5 linked regions of the Ovis aries genome follow. The protein of the gene in region 4 purifies or fractionates together with the protein of the main gene of each other region. This does not show direct contact. Links are inferred from orthologs where the notes say so. Each region holds a gene or a part of one and is shown on either strand. Other genes may lie near its edges. The genes, in order: FUCA1, MTCL1, ARHGEF2, MARK2 and UTRN.

Region 1 (4,258 bases), on a different chromosome or scaffold from region 4:
AGGATGAGGAACGCATGTACACCCATGGCTGATTCATGTCAATGTGTGGCAAAAACCACTACAATATTGTAAAGTAATTAGCCTCCAATTAAAAAAACCCAAAACTCAACCTATCATCACATTCAAGTGACTTTTTAAAAAATGTAACAATGTTTCCAATCCCATATTTTGAATATGAGTGTAATACCATATGCCATAAAAAAATTATAATGATTCATTCATCAGTGTATAAGCTATGCTATCATGAAGCCATCATATTGATTGCATTAGGCTACTATAAAGCAATCATGTGGCTGTTTCTTCATTATCAATGAATGAATCATTATAACTACAAATAAATATGAATTGCTTTTTCACAGTAGCTTTCCAGCTTTGATATTTAGCGTTAGTAACAGCTAACGTCTGCAGTGTTTTGTATCATGTAAGACAGTATTGCTGTAGATACTGACAGGTGGTTCATCTTGTAAACAGACAATGTAAACTTCTGGTATCAATAAATACAGTACTCTGCCCAATCTCCAACTAACGCAACATTGTAAAGCAACTATACTCCAATAAAATAAAAAAATAAATGCAGTGCAGTACTATAATGCATTTTCCCTTCCTTTTGATTTTCTTAACATTTTCTTTTCTCTAGCTTACATCATTGTACAAATACAGCAGATTATACATATAACATACAAAATGGGTGTTATTCGACCATTTATGTTATCGGTAAGCCTTCCAGTCAAGAGTAGGCTATTAGTAGTTAGGGCAAAGTCAAGAGTTACACATGGATTTCCTTCTGCGCAGGGGTCAGCAGACACCTGCTAACCACCCCCTAACCGCCATGTTGTTCAAGGGTCAGCTGTACATTTCCTGTAGTTGAGTTCCCTCAACCATTTTAAAAGCCTCAGGCGTGCCAGGTAAGTTGGTGCTCATGGCCCACTGCCCACTTCCTTGGCTCATATGGTTTCAATGTCCACAGGTATGTAGTCCTGACGACAAAGCATCACGAAGGTTACACAAACTGGCCAAGCCCTGTGTCTTGGAACTGGAACTCTAAGGATGTGGGACCCCATCGTGATTTGGTTGGTGAGTTGGGAACAGCCATCCGGAAGAGGTGCGTGTCCACGGACAGCCACCCCATCATCGCTTTTGATCTAACCACCCAGTACCCCGTGCCTTCCCTACACTTCTGTGTTTTCTAAGTTTGCACTTAACCGGTACATGGGAGGGCTTCTGGCCCTGAATTGGCAGTGTTTGAACCTTGGCAGTTTCCATGTGACCAGAAGTGACGGCATCAGAGAAGTGCACGGCCGTCTCTGGTTTGGTGAAGGATACCCAGCATAGACCACAGCGCTGCACTTGTGCTCTGCAAAGGATTCTCTCTGGGAAGCCTTCCAGCCTAGGGCCTTTCCCAGTGTCTGGTGGAGGCCAGGGTTGTGTCTCATCTTTGTGTCCTTAGCTGTCAACCCAGAGCTTTGTAGGCTTTCCTGGAAGGTTTAGATGGGGGGTAAATGAGGAGAGAGCTGAAGAGGGCAGTTAAAGCAACAAAAAGGGAGGTAAGGCATCACTCGTGATTCTAGGTAATATTTTCTAATATCTGCCACTTAAGATGTAACTTCCCAAGGTCAAAGAGCTGGGAAGGGGCAGAAGTGGGATTTGAACCCAGGTGTTCTGATTTTGGACCCTATTGTTCTGAGTATATTTGCCTGTAAGGAGGAAAAGTGGTATTTGTGTCATGCCCACTCAGCTCTATTGTGATTTGGCAAACTTGAAGTCCTGTTTAAGGGGTAGACCAGCTAATTATTTGTATAAATAAAGTTTGATTGGAATACAGTTGTGTTCATTCACTTAGGGATTGATTCTGGCTACTTTCAAGCTCTAATTGCAGAGTTGGGGTAGACATAGCAAGGCCTGCTGCTGCTGCTGCTAAGTCACTTCAGTCGTGTCCAACTCTGTGCGACCCCATAGACAGCAGCCCACTAGGCTACCCCGTCCCTGGGATTCTCCAGGCAAGAACACTGGAGTGGGTTGCCATTTCCTTCTCCAGTGCATGAAAGTGAAAAGTGAAAGTGAAGTCGCTCAGTCGTGTCCAACTCTTCACGACCCCATGGACTGCAGCCTACCAGGCTCCTCCGTCCATGGGATTTTCCAGGCAAGAGTACTGGAGTGGGGTGCCATCACCTTCTCGGATAGCAAGGCCTACAAAGCCTCAAAGTTATCTGGTCATTTAAGAAAGCATTTGCTGACTTATGTCACCTGTGAAACATTCAGGTTCCCAATGCTGTGCTCTGCTGATAATAGTCCTGCTGTAAAAGTCTGAGACATTGATTAGATCTGAATTCTAAGAGCCTTGATTTTCACCTTCTCTGTATCTAGTCAGTCACTGAATCACATAATGAAATTCTTAACTTCAGTTCTTTCTGCTTTATCTATGCCATTGCAAATGTTATCGTTACTTCTTGTATTATAGCATTTCCAAAACACTCACTCTTCTTAATTCACAAGTTTTATTGTATATGAAAATAGGTAAATTTAACCATATTTTGTTTCAGGTATATTAAAAACTATTAGTAAATCTTATATGAAACAATAAACCTATATTCATTAATTTCAACTGCACAGAAAATGGTACTAGTGATTCTTTCTGAGTGATGAGATTTTGGATATTCTTGGTATTTGTCTCTATTTTCCAGTATCTCTTCAATATGTATTATGATTAACAGAAAACATTTTTAATAGTACTATAAGTTATTGAGATAATTGACTCAAAAGACAGAAAATGGTTTAAATAACATTTTGGTGTCAAGATAATTTATGTATAAAGATAATTTGTTATCTGCTAAGTCAATTCAGTCATGTCCAACTCTTTGTGACCCCATGGACTGTAGCCCGCCGGGCTCCTCTGTCCATGGAATTCTCCAGGCAAGAGTACTGGAGTGGATTGCCATGCCCTCCTCCAGGGGATCTTCCTGACCCAGGGATAGAACCTGTCTCTCTTGTGTCTCCTGCATTGGTAGATGAGTTTTTTACCGCTAGCGCCACCTGGGAAGCCTAATTTGTTATTTATATCATCAAAAACAAAGTAAGCCAATCATTTTGCTTAAGTGAATGATAAGAGATAATTTAAGGAACTGGCTGTGGGTCCTGACCCCTGTATGCCCTATGGATAAATTTCACTGAGATGTAAAAATTCTGGCAACTGATTTTTCTTAAAATATTTTTTCTTTGCTTAATGACAGTTGCTGTCCTGTTTTTCTGTTTCAGGGACATACGCTATGGACTATATCATTCACTTTTAGAATGGTTCCATCCTCTCTACCTACGTGATAAGGAAAACGGCTTCAAAACACAGTCCTTCGTCCATGCAAAAACAATGCCAGAACTCTATGACCTTGTTAACAGGTACAAAACAGAAATTGTTTTAGCCTTATGACTTTCATCAGTGACATCTGAGCTGCTTATACTGTTGAGGGGAAAGGGGTAGGGGTGGAATATGAAAAAACTCTAGAAGACATCAAAACAGTAATGAGTAATCATTGTGTTAAGACAAAGTATATTTTTTCTTTTTTCTTTTCAAAACTTCCATAGTATGGTCATGCTGCTTTTATAAACTGAAACAGAACTGAGGATGGTAGTAAGTCAAAACCTCAGGTAACTCCTTCCATACCACTTTCTGTCAGGAGCTTGGAGAAGGGCAACATGGTCTAATGGACCCTACAGAGGGTTTGGCGTCTGGCAGATTCGTAGTTGAATCCTGGCTCTTTTCCCCTCAAGCATTTTTTTGGCTGTGCCATGCAGCTTGTGAAAAGGATGGCTTAAAACTCAACATTCACAGAACTAAGTTCATGGCATCTGGTCCCATCACTTCATGGCATATAGATGGGGAAAAAATGAAAATAGTGACAGACTTATTTTCTTGGGCTCCAAAATCACTGCAGGTGGTGACTGCAGCCATGAAATTAAAAGACATTTGCTCCTTGGAAGAAAAATAATGACACACCTAGACGGCATATTAAAAAGCAGAGAAATTACTTTGCCAACAAAAGTCCATCTAGTCAAAGCTATGGTTTTTCCAGTAGTCATGTGTGGATGTGAGAGTTGGACTGTAAAGAAGGCAGGCCAAAGAATTGATGCCTTCAAATTGTGGTGCTGGAGAAGACTCTTCAGAGTGCTTTGGACAGCAGGGAGATCAAACCAGTCAATCCTAAAGGAAATCAATCCTGAATATTCATTGGAAGGGCAGATGCTGAAGCTCCAATACTTTGGCCAC
Region 2 (4,258 bases), on a different chromosome or scaffold from region 4:
CTGGCCCTGCAGTCCTCCGGCAGCCCCAGAGGGGAGGCACCCACCTTATAGGTGGGGACACTGAGCGAGAGGACTAGCCACATACAGCAGCTCCAGTCTCCTGTGGTTTCCACCTACTGCTTCTATTTACCAGGTCAGGGAAGAGTACGACTCCAGTCTATGTGGCTCACATGCTTACTTCTTAGTCATACAAGATCTTCAGGTTACCTCGGTAGCTAAATTTTCATCCTCTCAAGCAAAGTGTGAGCTGTTTTTAACACCCAGTGGTTGTAACCCAGGCGATCACGCAAGGTTTATGTAGGACCTATTCCAAATAACTTGGACACCATGCTCTGTTGTTAGGAAACCTTGCTATTTAAGAAAACCAAATTCACCCCAGAAGTCTGCTGTCACTGATGGCTTTCCACTGAATGTGTCTTACATTCAGAAGGTAACTACAAAAAGGGATTTCTCAATGTGTCATTTGGCAATGTTAGATTTTAAAAACAAATGTGTGATTTCCTGTGAGCACAGCACTCAGTTATACATACAATAACATTCGCTACAGAAGCAGCTGACTTGCCTGTGGTTAATGCAGATATTTCTAGTCCAGATAATTTTCCAAAATTGTGACTTTTTTTTAAAGCACTTGTGGTGTTATTTTTTAAATCGATGCCAGAACTTTAAGAACATAAGATGTCTATCTTCAGGCTAATTGTTTTCACTTTTAAAACCCTCAAGTTGCAGAAAGAAAACAGTCCCCGGAGAGGTGGCAGTTTCCTCTGTGATCAAGAGGAAGGGGATGCCGGCTCCTGTACCCACCCAGGGAGCCCTCGGGCGCCCCGCCCTACAGGGATGTGGCCCTGTATGGACACAGACTCCAATGCGTTTGAGGACCGGCCGCTGTCAAAGCTGAAGGAATCGGACAGGTGCTCAGCACGGGAAAATCTCTACCTGGACACCTTGTCCCTGGATGATGAGCCAGAGGAGCCCCCGGCCCACGGGCCCCAGAGGGAGTTCAGGAACTGCTTCCATGAGGTCAGCTTGGGTTTGGGTCTAGTCACCTGCAAAGGAGGGTGAGGGGTTGGGAAGCTGGCTGAGTAGCTGACAGGCTGCATTGCAGGCTCTGCATATTGTGGCCCTGAGGTTAGTAAAAGTGAACCTTCCATGATGTGAGAGCTTTGAGGTGGTCCTGACCCCAGGCTTCCTGCTGCACTTGGCCGCTTAATCTCAAGGTCAGAAATTCAGAGCCTGTGTCCCATGTGAATAGGAGTCTCAGGAGCAGGAGTCGTCCAGTGAAATCCAGGAGGAAAAAGATGATCCCAGAAGTGGAGAACTGCTGATTTCCTTAAAATTACAGCACAGTCTCTGATTTCAGAAAACATATTAATAACAGAAAAGTCTTTTTTTAAAGAAAGTACTTCACATTGGAAGTAGCAAATGTCAGTAACCAATGACATACAATAAATACCTTCTTTATGTAAAGAGGGGGAAAAAATCCAACACTAGAAAGCTATGGGACTTAGATCAGTAAAGGGGAAAGCTTAGCTCTGTGCAGAAATCCCTACAGGATGGCAGTGGGTTTTCCTAAAGACTAATTTTAATAATCATTCCCTGTGTGCTGGTCTCACAGTAGCTGCACCTGTCATCTGACCTGTCCCACATGCTCAGCAGATGGGGGTGCCCGTCAGGCAGTGCTGCTGGAAGTGGGGACCTCCTCCTCGGCACCTGAACCCCAGCAGAGGTGACATCACCAGCATGCCACCCTAGGGGTCTCTAGTGGGAGTGTCCCGACCCCATGCTGACCAGTGCAGTAGCCAGGGCTCTCTGGGGGATCCTTGAGGGGTTTGCTGGCTGGGGCCTCACTCCATCTGGACTGGGTCCGCACAAGGGTATCCTCTGCTCAGGAGAACCATGTATGCAGTTCTCTTTAGTGGAAGTCACTATAGCTTTCCCAATGCTCAAGGGCGACGTTTAAACACCAAGAGCGCTCTATCTAAGGACATCACACTTTTTTTTTCTTTCATTTTTTATTGCAGTACAGTTGGCGTACAATGTTAAGTTGCAGGTGTACGACCTAGTGGTTCAGTTCTTCCGGGTTATATACTCCATTTACAGTTATTATAAAATACTGGCAGCATTCCCTGTGCCATTCAGCATATCCTGTAGCTTGTTTATTTTCTATGTCATGTCTGTGCCTTTCACGCTGACTTCTCTAGTCAGGCTGAGGCCAGGGGACGTCTACCCCGACTTACCCTCCTCCCAACCCTTACTCCTCCTCTCTCACTTGCACGCACTCTCTCTCACACACATGTCATTAATGAGGCAGCTTTGAGGCCCTCACACACAGCACTGCCCTCTGAGAAACACAGAAGAGCTGCCTTGGGGCAAAGCTTACTGCCAGTGTTTCTCACTCACGTAGGCCCTCCCTCATCGCCTCTGGATTCTGGTGTCATTACTGACCTTCCAAGGGCTGAGGGGCAGAGGCACTCCTGGCCCAAACTTGGCTTCCACGTACGTTTTAAGAGAAAAACAGACCCCTTAGCAGCCCCAAATCTGCCAGTACTGACTGATTCCAGTGAACTTATTTTCTTCTTTACAGGAAGAAGACAACCACAAGGGAAATCTTCAAAGGTAAGTAAGGTTGATGAAATGACAATAGACTACTGCAGGAAAGACCTCCTGGTCTTAAAAGTCTATCTATCTATAGTCAGCAGTGCACTGTGACTCTCTTCAAAAATGACTTAGAGTAAAACTTGTGGAGAAGTAGTTGCTTTATTATACGGTATTTAGATCGTTAACAACGAAAAGGCCAGCACCGTGTTCATATGTGTTACTGTTGTGCAAGAGCTGTGTATTTAAGGGGATAACTGTGTTAAATGGTTTTTGAAAAGTTCATGGAAACCCCTCTCTTTTGATTTAAAGCCTGGAAAAAACTCTCTCTTGATATGCTATGAGACATTTTAGACTGACCGTTTAAAAGCTCTCCTAGGAGGACTTATTACAGTATTACCAAGAGTAATCCTTGAAGTAAATATAAAGTAGCTGGTGTTTGTAATCATTTTCTAGTAACCCACATATGTAAGGGTGGGACATGTCTGAAAAGGCCCATATAAGCAAATTTGTTTAAATGGAGCAGAAGGCAAGGGGAGGAGTGAGCCCAGAGGGGACGTCTGTTTGAAATGGTGTTGGGATCATGCACCAGCCTGAACACCCCGTCCACTGCCCTTGGGAGACTGGTAGTGCTTGAGCTGACAGAGGTGAGGCGAGCGGGTAGAGGGGACATCAGCTGACAGTTACTTTGTGGTGGCCTCTCCTCCTCCCTGCCACGCCTGTATCTGGGTTGGACTGTGGTGTAGTCACGTCTGCTCTAAGGCGAGAACTCAGGAAACTCCTGCAGATTTGGCATCAAGGGTGCTTGTCAGTAGACGGAGAGGCCAGGCCACAGCCAGGCTTCCCGTCTTCCTGTGGAGCTGCTGCAGGCTGAGAACAAAACAGTGCGGAAGGGACTTGGAGCTCAACTCCAACTACCCTGGAGCACCACGCCCACCCCCACAGTTTTGAGAGTCAGCCGTAGTAAATTCTGACCAGTCCAAGGCTCCTGCATCAATTTCAGAGCCATAAAAACCCAAAGGGTCAGCCCGAGCAGAGACCGTCAGCACAGTGCACATGGGCAGGCCGTGGGCTGTGCTGGGTTGGGGGTCTCGGGGCCATGGCTCCCTAGCTGGTGACAGCTCACACCGCTCCTCTCCCCTTCCCCAGGGCCGTGTCTGTGTCGTCCATGTCTGAGTTCCAGCGCTTGATGGATGGCTCTCCCTTCCTGCCAGAGAAGGGCCTGCCCCCCACATGCAGCAAGGAGGACGTCACCCCACCCTTGTCCCCTGATGACCTCAAGTACATCGAGGAGTTCAACAGCAAAAGCTGGGACGACAGGCCTCTAGACCCCTGGGCGGACAGGACCGAGGTGGGGCGGACACGGCCCGAGGCCAGCACCGAACCTTTCTCTGATGCCGCCTGGTACCTCACCACAAGCATCACCCTGACCACGGACACCGTGACCAACCCCGAGCACTGCCAGAAGCAGCCCCTGCGGAACTTCGTCTGTGCTGAGCAGGCTGGGGGGAGGGGGCTGCACAGCCCACCTGCCATCCGGAGGCTGGATGGCATTGTGGCAGGGGTCGGCGAGAGCAGGGTCCGAGGGGGCCCTGCGGATGCCAAGGGAAGCCCTTCTGAACATGTGCTCAGCAGGTGGCCCTGTGCCCCCTCCAGGCACCCCCGA
Region 3 (4,258 bases), on a different chromosome or scaffold from region 4:
GTGAGCCCCTCTTAGCCCCTTCCCCTGCCTGTCTCCACAGCCTCATTCTGCCTTGAGATGGCAAGGCATAAAGATAAATGATTAGAAAAATGATCTAAGATCATAACGCAGAATATTAGCCTGGAAGGGAAACTGAAAACCTCTAATAAGCCTGAGGTCTCCAGCCTTGGCCCCACCAGTTGTGGCCAAGCCGGGTGTTCCACCGTCCCCACAGAGCTGATCCAGACAGAGCTGCACCACGTGCGGACACTGAAGATCATGACCCGCCTCTTCCGCACGGGCATGCTGGAAGAGCTGCAGCTGGAGCCAGGAGTGGTCCAGGGCCTGTTCCCCTGTGTGGACGAGCTCACTGACATCCACACGCGCTTCCTCAGCCAGCTGCTGGATCGCCGGCGCCATGCCCTATGCCCTGGTAGCACCCGGAACTTCGTCATCCATCGCTTGGGGGACCTGCTCATCAGCCAGGTGAGAAAAGCCAGGAGCCCTGGGCAGCAGTCTTGGGCGGGGGTGTGACTAGAGTGGGCATTTCTCATCTCCAGACTCTGGGGGGTGGGGCAGAGAGAGTTGGAAAGGCAGGAAGCCAGCCTGTTTGGCAGGAGGCGAGAGGGCATTGGGGATGAGAGGTGACTTTGGGGGACATGCTGACCCAGCCTTGCTCCCCCAACTTCTAGTTCTCAGGTCCTAGCGCAGAGCAGATGCGGAAGACCTACTCAGAGTTCTGTAGCCGCCACACCAAGGCCTTAAAACTCTATAAGGAGCTGTATGCCCGAGACAAACGCTTCCAGCAGTTCATCCGGGTGAGCAAACCTCTCCAAGACCCACCCTCCGCCTCCTGTAGTGCCCCAGCCCTAGTGGACACAGCTGCTCGTTTTTCCAGGGGTAGAGCGAGTGCTCTCGCTCCTTGGGTCCTCACAGTAAACCTGTGACCTTGTCGGCCCCATTTTCCAGAGTCATTAACCTCCCGCCAGCCAGCATGAGGTAAATGACCAAGTGCAGGCAGGCACCAGGGCTTAGGCTCCAAGTCCAGCGTCCTTTCTGGTGCCCTCCCCGCGGGTGCCCCTCTGGCACTGAGCCCTGACCTCGCTTTGTAGAAAGTGACCCGCTCGGCGGTGCTGAAGCGGCATGGGGTACAAGAGTGCATTCTGCTAGTGACTCAGCGCATCACCAAGTACCCAGTGCTCATCAACCGCATCCTGCAGCATTCCCACGGTGAGAGGGCGAGTCCAGGCGGGAGGAGGAGGGAGAGGGCTGTCAGGGGTGAGGCGTGGCCCTGGACAACCACCGGGAGGAAGAGGGTCACATATGGAACCCTGGGCAGCCTCTGAAGGCGGCATTGAGATCAGTGGGTTGGGGACTGGCGTGAAGCTGGCTGGGCCACCCCTTCCTCACGCCGACCTCGGTGTCAGGGATGGAGGAGGAGCGCCAGGACCTGACCACGGCCCTGGGGCTGGTGAAGGAGCTGCTGTCCAACGTGGACCAGGATGTGCACGAGCTGGAGAAAGGGGCCCGCCTGCAGGAGATCTACAACCGCATGGACCCTCGGGCCCAGGCCCCGGTTCCCGGCAAGGGCCCCTTTGGCCGAGAGGAGCTCCTGCGGCGCAAGCTCATTCACGATGGCTGCCTGCTCTGGAAGACTGCGACTGGGCGCTTCAAAGGTCAGTGGACAGCTTGGCAGACCAGGCAAGAGTCCATGGCCAGAGGGAGAAGCCTCCAAGCCCATAGGACCTCTTTTAATGTAGCCCTGGTGAGACCCAGTGGGAGGAAAATATGTGAGCTCTGTTGTAACAAAAGTCAGAATTCTGGATTTAATTTCATGGGCGATACAAGGACTTCGTTGTCAGGATTTGTTCATTCCTTTGGTCCTTGCATGCCCAGAAAGCTACCGATTTTGATGAGAAAAACAGAGAAATTCCAGGATTAGAGGACTAGCCCCTGGTAATTGGTTCTACCAGCTGGAGTCCCAGCCACTAGGGCTGGGGAATGGGCAGGCACTTTGGGAACACAGCTGAGGAAGGCCCTTGGAGGGGGTGGAGCCCAGGGAAGGGCGGGCCAAGTGGAGAAGAGAAAAGACTGCAGGGAAGGTGTGTTCAGGGCGGGGCGCACTGTCCCAGCCTCTCTTCCCAGACTATACTGGGCAAGGCTTGCCTACCTAAATCAAAGCAGAAGAGTCGCAGACCTCAGCTTTAGGTGTGAGGAATGCTACCTGAGGCCAGAGCTTGCCTGCACCTCTGTCCCGTGTCGTGAAGTCCCCACTCCATAGGCTTGAGTATTGCAGGCTTTGCCAGCCACTTTCCTCCATCCCTTTCTCTCCTTCCCATCCCTCCCACGCAGCAGCTAAGAATATAAACCATGGGGGGGTTAAAAATAGCAAGGCTGAAGAGCTTTATTTCTGAAGCCTTTAGCAGAAGCCCTCCCCTTCTGTGTGCCCACAACTTAGAAAGATCTCCAAGGGCAGAGGATGCATGTGTTTTCCTGACTGTGACATCTGACTTTCATGGGTTGACCTTTGTCTCCCCCAAGTCTTAAAGCACAGGACCCCGTAGAATGTGAGGGCCTTGAAGGTGGGGCAGAAAAGGAAAATGAAAGCAGGGCCTGCTGTTGTTGAAGGAGATTGGGATTGTTCAACAGTGGGAGAAATGAATAAGGAACCTAACTGTTCCCCTCCCCATGGAGCACAAAATAAGAAGTGGGGAATATGCTGGCATGGGGGGAATCTTAGACCAAATATCCAAAAAGATCTTATGTCAGTTGTTCAACATGGAACTGAAAGGCTCTGGGAGTCGTTTTACCCTCACAAGAATTCTGGACCCTTTCACACAGAAAAACACACGTGTGATAGATTAATATGTAAAAATTGCTTATGGAACTTTAGAGGATCTACAGAGCCTCTGAAGCGTGATAGCAGACAACCTAGGTGTCGGCAGACCACAGGCTAAGGAGCATTCATTGGATAAAGAGGCTTTTATTCAAGGCCACTGGGTGATTGCTTATAGGCATCTCTAGCCCAAGAAACTGTTTTGTCTGATGACACATGTGTCCCCCCCGCCCCCCACCGTTTCTGAGCTGTAGGAATGGGGAGAGGTGGGAGGTCTGCGAAGGGGGAGGAAACAACCAGAGGGAGAGAGGTCGGGGAAAGGGAAACAGCTGCTCGCATCCTCTAACGCTGACTCTCCTCCTGCCTCCATCCCCCTGCCAGATGTGCTCATGCTGCTGATGACAGATGTGCTGGTGTTTCTCCAAGAGAAGGACCAGAAGTACATCTTTCCTGCCCTGGTGAGACCTTCCACCTTCTTTCTCAGCATAGACAAGTGTTTCAGACCCTTCTTACTTTCCTACCCTGGCCAGGAAATCCTCCAACATCAAATAGCTATTATTGTAACCACTGCCGTAATATAATCAGGAAAAATAAGAAGAGCCAATGCATATAAATATGATCAGAAGGAATAAGAAGAGCCAACGCATATTGTTACTATATGCAGCCACTTTTTTTTACACGTGTTAGGAAGGCACATGATTATCCTCTTTTTGTAGATGAGAAAAGTAAAGCTTAAAGTTAATTAAATTGTCAAAGGTCACAGACGTTTCTCTAAGTCCACTCTGGCTGGCACCAGAGTCTGAGCTCTTAACTTATATTCTCGGCTGACTCTTCAATCCTTTGGATACTCCAGGAGGACTGAAGACTCAAATATCCAGGGGTCAGGATTCCCAGCTTTAATCCTTCCTGTGCCCCAATTGGCAGGACAAGCCCTCGGTGGTGTCACTGCAGAATCTCATCGTGCGGGACATCGCTAACCAGGAGAAAGGGATGTTTCTGATCAGTGCGGCACCCCCTGAGATGTACGAGGTCCACACGGCATCCCGGGATGACCGGAGCACCTGGATCCGCGTCATTCAGCAGAGTGTGCGAGTGTGAGTGTGTGCATGGACTTGTGGTTCCTGCAGTTTGGGGCGTTGGACCACAGCACTCCCAGGGAACAGAACCCAGGGTTCAGAAGTGGAAGGAGAGGCCAGGAGAGAGACAAGATGGCCCAAGGCAGGCAAGGTCATTTATGTTCTCTTGCCCGGTAAAGTTGCATTTTATACAGTGACAACCCCAACCGCCTTCTGAATGCACCATGAGCTGACAAGCCAAAGGAATACTTTAAGTTGGCACGTGCCGGCATGCCTGCCAGTCAGCAGTACAGTTTCACCTCCATTAACATCTTAGTCTGTAGGCAGTGGGCCATTATTTGGACTGTATTGTCTTTCACCTTCATTT
Region 4 (4,898 bases):
TGGAGCTGGAGTTGGAAGTCAAGTGTCAGAGGTCCAATCCACACTCTTTTCCTGCAAGCTCTTGGGCCTCTCTCTGTACCTTCTGCAGACTCGCTGCTTGAGGTTGGTCTTTGGGTCTTGTGGGGATTCTGGCTTCTGTCTACCTTAAACTGCTGTTGAACCTAGGGTAGCTTTGAGGGATGGTTTTCCAACATGTCTGGGGTACAATGGGTGGGGACAGCCAGAGGAATCACACCTGCCGGTCTATTCACTGTCCTTGGTGAGGTAACCTAGGGGGAAGTGAAGAGTGAACTTGGATTGCCACATGGACTTCCTGTTAAAGTAAGAGGCTCTCCAGAGATGAGAGGGACCTCAAGCTTATGAATAGTGACCTCTATTCATTAATAGGAAAACAGGCCCATAAAGGAAAGGAACGCCTCCAGTTGTTCATTCTTTGTGCCATCCTGAAGAATCCTCATTTTTCAACCAGTTTCTCTCTTTTATTTTCCCCATGAGTTTCCTTGTTTTAGAAGGGATAAGTGAAATGTGATTAAAGATGAGAATGTCTCTCCTGCCCAACCTCAGAGGGATATTTAAAAAGGGAACTGGCATGACTCAATATTGCCATAGTGCAATGCCGTTTTGTGCTATTTTGAACAATTAGAAGACTTTTTTTTGAAAGAAAAAAATAAAAAAGGTACAAATCCAAAGATATTATTTAGAATGTCATCACGGGAACAAAGGCATGGATTCTTTCAAGATAGGGACATTGAGGAGCTAAACAGAGATATTATGTGATTTTTTTCCCCAAGATCCCATTGCATTTTCACTGCAAAGAGCTAGAGGTAGAATGCAGGGTTGAGGGAATCTCTGAAGACTTTGGCAGCTGGGAGCCAAGGACGTTTACCTGGTGTTTGCCAGGGACCTTGAGAAGCCCTGTGGATTAGATGTGGGGTACACGGATAGACAAATAGAAGCCAAGATGGACAACAACAGGTGATGAACGGTAGGTAGACAGGTAATAGACTAACGCTGCATCTGACAGGAGACTCACATGTTGATAGATAGGCTGGATGATAAACGAGATGTATTTAATGAGCTGACTAAGAGGAACGGACACACAGATAGGAAGTTGCTTTAGAACCAAACGATGTCAATACCAGGGCTTAACAGTTTTATTTTCTACTTAGTCAAATAGTAACACGCACACGTGATCTACGCTCCCTGGTCAAGATTTGCAAATACCCGAAAACTGACGGAAAGAAACGAAGAGTCAGACTTTGGGTACCATCCGAGGGAATGACCCGAGACTCGCCCGATCTCGGGTGTTGCCGGAAATGGCCGACGACCGCCGTCCGCGGCGGGGCGGGATGGGGGCGTGGCCCGCTCCCAGCGCGCGGAGAGGCTTCGGGTGTTTCCGGAAACTGCCGAAAACCTGCTTGAAGTGGGCGGGGAAAGGCCTGTAGGCGTGGCTGGAGTACCCGGAGTCTCTTCGTAGATTTCCGTAAACAGAGCCGAAGCTTGGTCTTCGGAATCGCGGAGCAGCGCGCGTCCCCAGGATTACCTTCTTCGGGTGTTTCCGGAATTCACCAGTAGTCGGTGGCTGGGAGGAGAAGGAGCGCCTCCCTCCCGTTTCTAGCCGCTTCGGATGTTTCCGGCTGCTGCCGGCGGAAAGAGCCGAGGACCGGCGGTGGTGGCGGCCATGTTGGGAGCAGCAGGTCCGGCGGCGGCTGCCTGTGTGCCGGGCGCGGAGCAGTGCCGCTGAGGGCAGGGGAGGAGCGAGGCAGGCGGCCGGCTGCGGCGGCAGAAAGTAGGCGGAGCGGCGCGGCCCGGCCGAAAGGCGGCACGGCCCAGCCGGGGGTCGGGGGGGTGCGGTCCGGAGCTGCTCGGAGCCGGCGCGGCCTAGCCCGAGCGGCGCATCCCCGGGCTGGCGTGAACGGCAGCCCGGCCTCCCCGCACCCCCGGCCGGGGCCCATGCGGCGGGTGCTCCTGCTGTGAGAAGCCCCGCCCGGCCGGGCTCCGCGCCTTCCCTTCCCTCCCTTCCTCCAAGCTTCTCGGTTTCCCTCCCTTGAGATACCGGCGCCATGTCCAGCGCTCGGACCCCCCTACCCACGCTGAACGAGAGGGACACCGAGCAGGTAAGGAGCCCGGAGGGCTCCCCACATTCTTTGGCTGGGCCCCTGCACCTTGCAGAGCCTCCTCCCTCCTCAGCTCTCTTCGTGCCCCGGCTGCCAGCCTGTAAGCCTCGGCTGCCCTGTCATCTGGCTCCTGGCCCCGTACACCTCCCTTCCGCGTCCTGTCCGGGGACCCACCTCGTCCGGACTCCAAGCTGCACACTTGTCTTTCTGCCGACCACCCCCCTCCCCCTGGCCCTTCTCCCTTCACCGCCCTCCTGCGCTCTTCCGTGTTACCTCCCCAGCTTCCTCTTCTCTTCCCTTTTTCTCTCAGGGGCCTTTTTGGTCTTCCTCCACCCACGCTGAAAGCAGCCACCTTCCTGCTCCTAGACCAGCACCCTGCGATTCGCCCCAGATCGTTGTCCACCTCTTCCTCCATCTCTCCAGCCTCGCTTCCCCTCTGCCCGCACCGGTTCTCCCAGTCCCAGTTATCACCCTCAGGGTCCTTGCCCCGGACTGTGACCTCGATCCCTGTCCCCTGTCAGTTCCCCGGCTTTTTACCCTGCCTCCTCCTGTTCCACATTGTGCTCGCCCTCTTGCTTGCAACCCACCAGCTCCACCCTCATCACCTTTCCAAATCGCTCGCCTACTCTTTGCTCATCACTTTCCCTTCTCTTCTCCAGGAGCTCCCTGGTGCCTCGCGCTGGCATTTGTTGCTTCCGTGTTTCCCCGTACAGCTGTCATGCGCATAGTTTTCCCACAGGTTGTCTTCGGGGTTCCAGTCTTCACTCCCTTCACGCTCCCGAGATCCCTCACGTTCTCTTCCCCTGGGGCTTGTTTTTTTAAGTTTTGGCTTGGCCTCCTGTTTCTCACTGCGAGTGCTGTACCAAGCCTTCTCCCTGGGCTCTTCCTGCGGAGGGAAAGACTCTCTATTTCAGCCCTGCTCCATTGACACCACCTGTTGCGCGGTCCTTTCCCAGGCCTCGCTTCATCCTGGTCCTCCCGGTTCTGTCTTCTTACACCATAACACAAGCCGGGCCGTTATGCTTTCCTGTTTCTTCACTCAGGACCCTGTCTCTTAGTATCTTCCCCTTTGCTTGTTGCCTTCCCGTTTCTCTGCCCTCACCCCATCTTTCTTAGTACCATTCCTCTTGATCAGGATTGCCTTTCATCTCCGTACTCTTTGCCAGCCTTCTTCACATCATATTTATTCCCCCCACGTATGCCCCTGTCCATCCGCTTGTGGTCGGCTAGCCTTTGTGACTCCCAGGGCCAGGAATTTTGCATGCTGATTTCTTGAGCTGCTCCCTCTCCCCTCATCCTGGCAATCACTGCTATCATTTGTCACCCAAGCCTTAGCCTTTCTGTGTCATCTCACCTTGCAGCCGAGAGGCGTCCACTTTCCCCCCCTCCCCTTTCTTTCACCATCTCTGGTGTCCCTTGCTGCCTGCTCTGGAGAGTCCTCTGCCTGTCACACCTTTCCTGGTGGAGAACTTTACTAGGCAAAAAAAAAAAAATTAACTTGAAAAAAGAGCTCTTCACCCCTGGGGCTTGCAGTGCTTTTTTGGGTCCTTTTCTCTTGTTGCATCCATTATGTTTTCCTCTTGTTCCCTTCTTTCTGGCTAGTGCAATAGAACCATTGTTATATTCTCTTGCATATTAATACCTCTTGCATATTAACATTAACATCTTAAAATAAATCTTTCCGCTTTTCATTTTTCCAGTGTTTTTCTCTTTTGTTAGCCCCTCAGTCTCTGTCATCTGGACAGTCAGGACCTTAAGAGGAGTTCTGGATAAGTTTTTTCTGCAGTGGTTGACCCTTTCATAACCTGTGGATGGCCGGACTGCTTCTAGGGGGTGAAACAGGTTGAGAGGGCGAGATGGTTGAGTTCCACTGTATCACTGGGTTTGGCATGGGACTGCGGTCTTTAGAAACAGGAGCATGGTCTCCATCTCAGTCTTGCCCTCAAATGCCAGCTGTTTCTCTTCTTCCTGGGAACCACTTTCTCAAGGCCCTCTCGAGGTTACCTATCACAACCTTTATTTAGCACATAAACCCTGCTTAACCAGAGGACTTTCCCAGACTGTTGAGTCTGAGCTGGTAGGAGGAAGCCAAGTGACTGACTGGCACCCGCAGGCATCTGGGGCGTGGCGGTGGAGTGCCTACTCTCTCAGCAGGGCTGTGGGGGGCATTGTGTTCAGCAGAGCAGAGTAACTGAGTGCCTCAGTGTGCTTTCTTTGTGTTGTTTACTCGGTGTACATGTATTCTTGCCACGGTCTTCTTGTGATGTGTGCATTGATTTCCTCTCTTCCCTTCAAGCCTCACACACACCTGAGCATGTTGCAGGAACCTGGTGCTTGCCTCCCACCGATTTTATGATAGCCGAACTCTGTGAACCATTTGGGAATGTAAGGTGCTACTTGATAACTTTGTCCAGAGAACTGGCTGCATACGTTGTCATCTTGCTCCAAATTATGAATTACTCATCCTGTTTCCAGTCTGTGTATTTAGGTTCCCCCGAGCCACTTCATCGCTTCTGCTGTTATTCTCAGGGTAGTCCCACTACGGACTTGATATTAAGTCTTCGCCTTGAAAAAACAAAGATTTTGAAAAACCTTACAAGCAGATGTGGTATTTTTTAAAACAAGAAAAAAAAATGTAACAGCTCTTCGAGTCATAAGGCCAGAGAGGCCTGAAGCACTGGCCTCTTTTGGACTATATCATGCTACCAGGTGAGACCAGTAAGCTCTTCTTGGTCGTGTTGTGAGTTTAACTAAAGTGGTTGTGGTAGAAGCCTTAATGTT
Region 5 (4,258 bases), on a different chromosome or scaffold from region 4:
AATCACATGTTATATTATGCTTCAGGAAATATCACTGAGATCTATGCCAAGTGTCTTATTAAGTGCTGATGGTACTGAGGTGAAAAGACATGGGCCCTGCCTCAAGCACTCAAGCTTTGAGTAGGCAAAATCTATTCAACCATATTTGAAATGCTTTTTTACTAGTACTTAAATGCTGCTGCTGCCTTAAATGAGTTCTTAACTAATATGATCAAGGCAGGGCCAATAAGATTATTTGTAGTATATGAATGAGAAATAGGGATTAAAATAAAATGAAATTTATAAAGAAACTTTTTGCCTTTTAGTCTTCAGTTTTTCATTATTTTGAGGTCTAAATTAAAATGAAAAAGTACCCAACCACAGCTGTGCTTCCTTGGTGGCTCAGATAGTAAAGAATCTGCTGGCAATGTGGGAGACTCAGGTTTGATCCCTGGGTTGGGAAGATCCCCTGGATAAGGGAATGGCTACCCACTCCAGTATCCTTGCCTGGAGAATTCTGTGGACAGAGGAGCCTGACAGGCTACAGTCCATGGGATTGCAAAGTCGGACACGGCTGAGTGACTAAAACTTTCACTTTTACAGCTGTGCATTTTTTGGAATGATATTTATCCACTGCGGAAGAGCTTTGCAGGAAGGTAGAAGTTCTTCTTCAAATTCAGCATTACTTAGGTGTTTGAAGACCTTTTAAATGTCTTCAAAGATTATTGTCTTAATTATTTCATATGGTTGTATCAGTGTTTTATTAATTCCTTTCTAGAACCATCAGAACCAGTTGGAAATATTTGATGGCAATGTTGCTCACATAAGCACCTGGCTTTATCAAGCTGAAGCACTATTGGATGAGATCGAAAAAAAGCCAGCAAGCAAACGAGAAGAAATTGTGAAGGTAGCAGATCAGTAACACTTCTGAGAATGGAAGGTTTAGCTATCTCCTTTGTCTTGATGAATATTCCAAGTTACTTGCACACATGTGTTTCTCGTGCAGATTTATTAACTTTTATGTTGGTGGGATAAACAAAATGAGTCGTTTTGTTTGTTTTGGTTTTTGTCTTAGCTAAATTTTTGTTCCATTCCTCTTAGGTAAGAATTGGCATCTAAAAGTGCCACATTATGGGGCTGTTAACATAATTTTTCCATTGTAATTTAATAAGCTGGGAAGACAGAAAATACTTCATTTTGTCATGGTGCATAGTTGAATGCTGCATCATTAGTTAACAGCAGAAGTGCAGTTTTAGTTATTTTTTTCATGACTTGCAAAATTTGGTGGCACTACAGAAAGTTGGAGCAAAACAGACTTCATAATGAGTAATTGGCTTTCATTTCTTGGTACGTATTCCCCACTGATCCAGCTTTTCAGAGGAATCTGCTGTGAAAGAAAAGATAGTATGTTTTTTCAGAAGTGCCGTATGGCAGACTTCTTCACTTTGCTCAGCTTCTTGATACTCTTATGCACTGGTGATAAGCAAAGAAGAACTTGTTGTCTTGGGAACTCCAGAGTCTCAGAAAATTTCTAAGAGTAGCCCTTATTCTTTCCTGTGTTTTTACATTTTGTTTCAAAGTTGAAGGTCAGACCTAACTTTTAAGAATTCCCCCTGGGAAATCTTTTCTATCTACTGCTCAGGCCCCACCAATCCTTCTTTGGAACTCTCTGACGCATCAGATATGGATGAACAGTTGAATTCTGGGTTACAAATATACTCTCGAAACATTTTGCAGACATCACTGAATGAATCTTTTTTTCCCCTTCACGTTGTTTATCGATGCCAGGAAACACTGCATAATTAAAGATTTGATGAGGAACCTGCAAACAATAAAGAATGTGTCTGTTGCCAGCAAAATAACAATTGATTCAGGTCCTTTAGATGTTACAGAGCTTTTTTCACACCAGATGGTTTATATGAAACAAAACCATTTTAGAGTGTTTTATTATGCATCTATAAACCTTTAAAGAATGAGATAGTTTCCTTTCTTCACTACATTTTCTTTATTTCCTGGACTACACTTTTAGTGAATTTATTAAATTTATTACATTTATTAGATCACTAACATATGTTTAGCATACCTTTAGACAATTTTTCATGAAAGCCAAGACCTATCTGCCAAGTGTTTCTTTCTTTCCGCTTGATTTTTCTTAAAGAGAATTTCAAGAATCTCTACATAACTAGCGAAATTTGAGACAAGCAGTGGCTGTTTTTTTTTTTTTAATATGACAATCAGATTTAGATGCAAGACAACACATTCTAAAAGTTCCATAGTTAAGCTGATGTTCTCCTGTTTCTATCTGCATACACTAATTTAAAAACTACTTCCTCAAACGACTTAATTTCTCTCAGCCACCATAACAAGCACAGATTCTTCAGAACAGTGGATTAGGCTCCATGTCTTAGATCACTGAGTGCCTTGTGGTATCGTTCATTCTTGTAATCACAAGGAAAACATTTGCAGAATTTATAGATACATACAGATAAGCGGGTACTCAAAAAGTACTCATAGCCATACTCCTGAGAGAATTCCAGCACTCTTCAAAAACTTATGAATGAAGTAGGAATTGAGGCAGGTATTTGCATCCCTTTCTTAGGCCTGAAAATGAATTTAATGACCATTATGAAATTAGCCAGAGGAGACTGCGTAATGTTCTTGTACATTTTAGTTAAAAACTAAATGGTAATATTCAATTCCCTTCCAAACCAGTTTACCTTCACCAAGGAAAGGGGGATGGCGGTAAACAAGATTTCTAGGGGGAAAAGAAGTTAAAGTCTGTTCCTTGCTACTTAATCTTTTATCAGCCTCAAGAAACTTTGCAATTCTTAGAATAAGATGGTTGAGGAAATGACACAATAAATCTTATAGACTATTCAATTATAAAGTAAAGTTTTATATAAACTGGGAGTAGTTTAAAATGCTTCCTGTATAGCATGAATGAGTCTCTGTCTCTCTCTCTCGTTAAATATATGAACAGCTCTTATTCAAATTGATGGTACAGAAGTCTCTTACTAGAAGTCTCAGACATTTGTTTAAGCTCCCTTTACTTCCCAGTTAGCACTGCACCCATGTTTGGTTTTGATTTTTTCCATGTGATTATTTCGTGCTTTCTTACAATTAGCGTTTACTCTCTGAGATGGATGATGTCAATCTCCAAGTACAAAACGTCCGAGATCAAGCTGTTGTTTTGATGAGTGCACGTGGAGGCTCAAGCCGGGAGCTTGTAGAACCAAAATTAGCTGAATTGAACAGAAATTTTGAAAAAGTCTCTCAACACATCAGAAGTGCCAAAGTAAGTAATTATGTTTTTATATAAAACTATTTTCTTGTAGATATGTAGCTGAATGGTAGATAGTTACATGGTGCTCGTGCTAAGTTGCTTCAGTCGTGTCCGACTCTTTGCGACCCTATGGAATGTAACCTGCCAAGTTCCTCTGTCTATGGGATTCTCCAGGCAAGAATACTGGAGTGGGTTGCCATGCCTTTCACCAGGGGATCTTCCCCACCCAGGGATTGAACCCACGTCTGTTTTATCTACCTGTATTGGCAAGCAGGTTCTTTACTGCTAGCGCCACCTGGGAAGCCTCAATTATATGGTATATACAACAAAAAAATTAAACAAAAATGGTTTTATCACTTTTCTTTGATTGAGCATTCGTTCTTATTTATGATTGTCCAAATGAAGGAGAGAATCTAAGAAATTAGTATTAAAGAAAATAACCCATTTGAGAAAAGGTTTCAAGTATTCAAATTATCTAAGAGGAGGGTCCTCTTTTTTTGTAGGAAGTAAATATTCTCTAACTTTGCTTTGTTTTGAAATATCTGATGTTGTTGTCATTTAGTCGCTAAGTCCTGTCTGACTCTTTGCAACCCCATGGACTACAGCCCACCAGGCGTCTCTGTCCATGGGATTTCCCAGGCAAGGATACCAGAATGAGTTACCATTTCCTTCTATAGGGGATCATCCTGCCCCAGGAATCAAACCTGGGTCTCCTGCATTTGCAGGCAGATTCTTCCCACTGAGCCACCAGGGAATCCCAAAATATCTGATATAATAGGCCAAACTATCTCTCATAGCCCAAGAATATATTTAGATTATTTGCAACTTAAAGAAAACAAACAAAAATCTTGCTTTAACTCTTGCCTTCCTTACCTTGTGACCTAAGCTTACTTATTTAGTCTTTTCAGTAGCTCTATAGGAGATTTTTCTACAAATGTAAAAGAGTAATATAAGAGACATAAGAGGAGGATTGAAAGAAAGTACGAAGAAAATGAT

Evidence for each region.
Region 1: the proteins of MARK2 (region 4) and FUCA1 purify together in Homo sapiens (affinity purification with mass spectrometry; 3 studies listed by BioGRID and IntAct, counting the BioPlex papers as one, with this or other methods). This does not show direct contact. The link is inferred for Ovis aries from reciprocal best matches to the Homo sapiens genes MARK2 and FUCA1.
Region 2: the proteins of MARK2 (region 4) and MTCL1 purify together in Homo sapiens (affinity purification with mass spectrometry; 5 studies listed by BioGRID and IntAct, with this or other methods). This does not show direct contact. The link is inferred for Ovis aries from reciprocal best matches to the Homo sapiens genes MARK2 and MTCL1.
Region 3: the proteins of MARK2 (region 4) and ARHGEF2 purify together in Homo sapiens (affinity purification with western blotting; 3 studies listed by BioGRID and IntAct, with this or other methods). This does not show direct contact. The link is inferred for Ovis aries from reciprocal best matches to the Homo sapiens genes MARK2 and ARHGEF2.
Region 5: the proteins of MARK2 (region 4) and UTRN purify together in Homo sapiens (affinity purification with mass spectrometry; 4 studies listed by BioGRID and IntAct, with this or other methods). This does not show direct contact. The link is inferred for Ovis aries from reciprocal best matches to the Homo sapiens genes MARK2 and UTRN.

What each region holds. Positions count from the first base shown.
Region 1 is NC_056055.1:242,805,728-242,809,985, forward strand, and holds part of FUCA1 (tissue alpha-L-fucosidase), read left to right. Parts: intron 1-967; coding exon 968-1,102; intron 1,103-3,252; coding exon 3,253-3,390; intron 3,391-4,258. UniProt on the Homo sapiens protein: Alpha-L-fucosidase is responsible for hydrolyzing the alpha-1,6-linked fucose joined to the reducing-end N-acetylglucosamine of the carbohydrate moieties of glycoproteins.
Region 2 is NC_056076.1:41,731,579-41,735,836, forward strand, and holds part of MTCL1 (microtubule cross-linking factor 1), read left to right. Parts: exon of another isoform or gene 1-720; coding exon 721-1,017; exon of another isoform or gene 1,018-2,581; coding exon 2,582-2,613; exon of another isoform or gene 2,614-3,462; intron 3,463-3,741; coding exon 3,742-4,258. UniProt on the Homo sapiens protein: Microtubule-associated factor involved in the late phase of epithelial polarization and microtubule dynamics regulation.
Region 3 is NC_056054.1:105,990,100-105,994,357, reverse strand, and holds part of ARHGEF2 (rho guanine nucleotide exchange factor 2), read left to right. Parts: intron 1-214; coding exon 215-465; intron 466-671; coding exon 672-797; intron 798-1,091; coding exon 1,092-1,209; intron 1,210-1,406; coding exon 1,407-1,655; intron 1,656-3,196; coding exon 3,197-3,273; intron 3,274-3,739; coding exon 3,740-3,909; intron 3,910-4,258. UniProt on the Homo sapiens protein: Activates Rho-GTPases by promoting the exchange of GDP for GTP.
Region 4 is NC_056074.1:38,652,476-38,657,373, forward strand, and holds the start of MARK2 (serine/threonine-protein kinase MARK2), read left to right. Parts: upstream 1-1,665; 5' UTR 1,666-2,063; coding exon 2,064-2,117; intron 2,118-4,646; exon of another isoform or gene 4,647-4,826; intron 4,827-4,898. UniProt on the Homo sapiens protein: Serine/threonine-protein kinase. Involved in cell polarity and microtubule dynamics regulation. Phosphorylates CRTC2/TORC2, DCX, HDAC7, KIF13B, MAP2, MAP4 and RAB11FIP2. Phosphorylates the microtubule-associated protein MAPT/TAU.
Region 5 is NC_056061.1:69,059,751-69,064,008, forward strand, and holds part of UTRN (utrophin), read left to right. Parts: intron 1-757; coding exon 758-886; intron 887-3,103; coding exon 3,104-3,274; intron 3,275-4,258.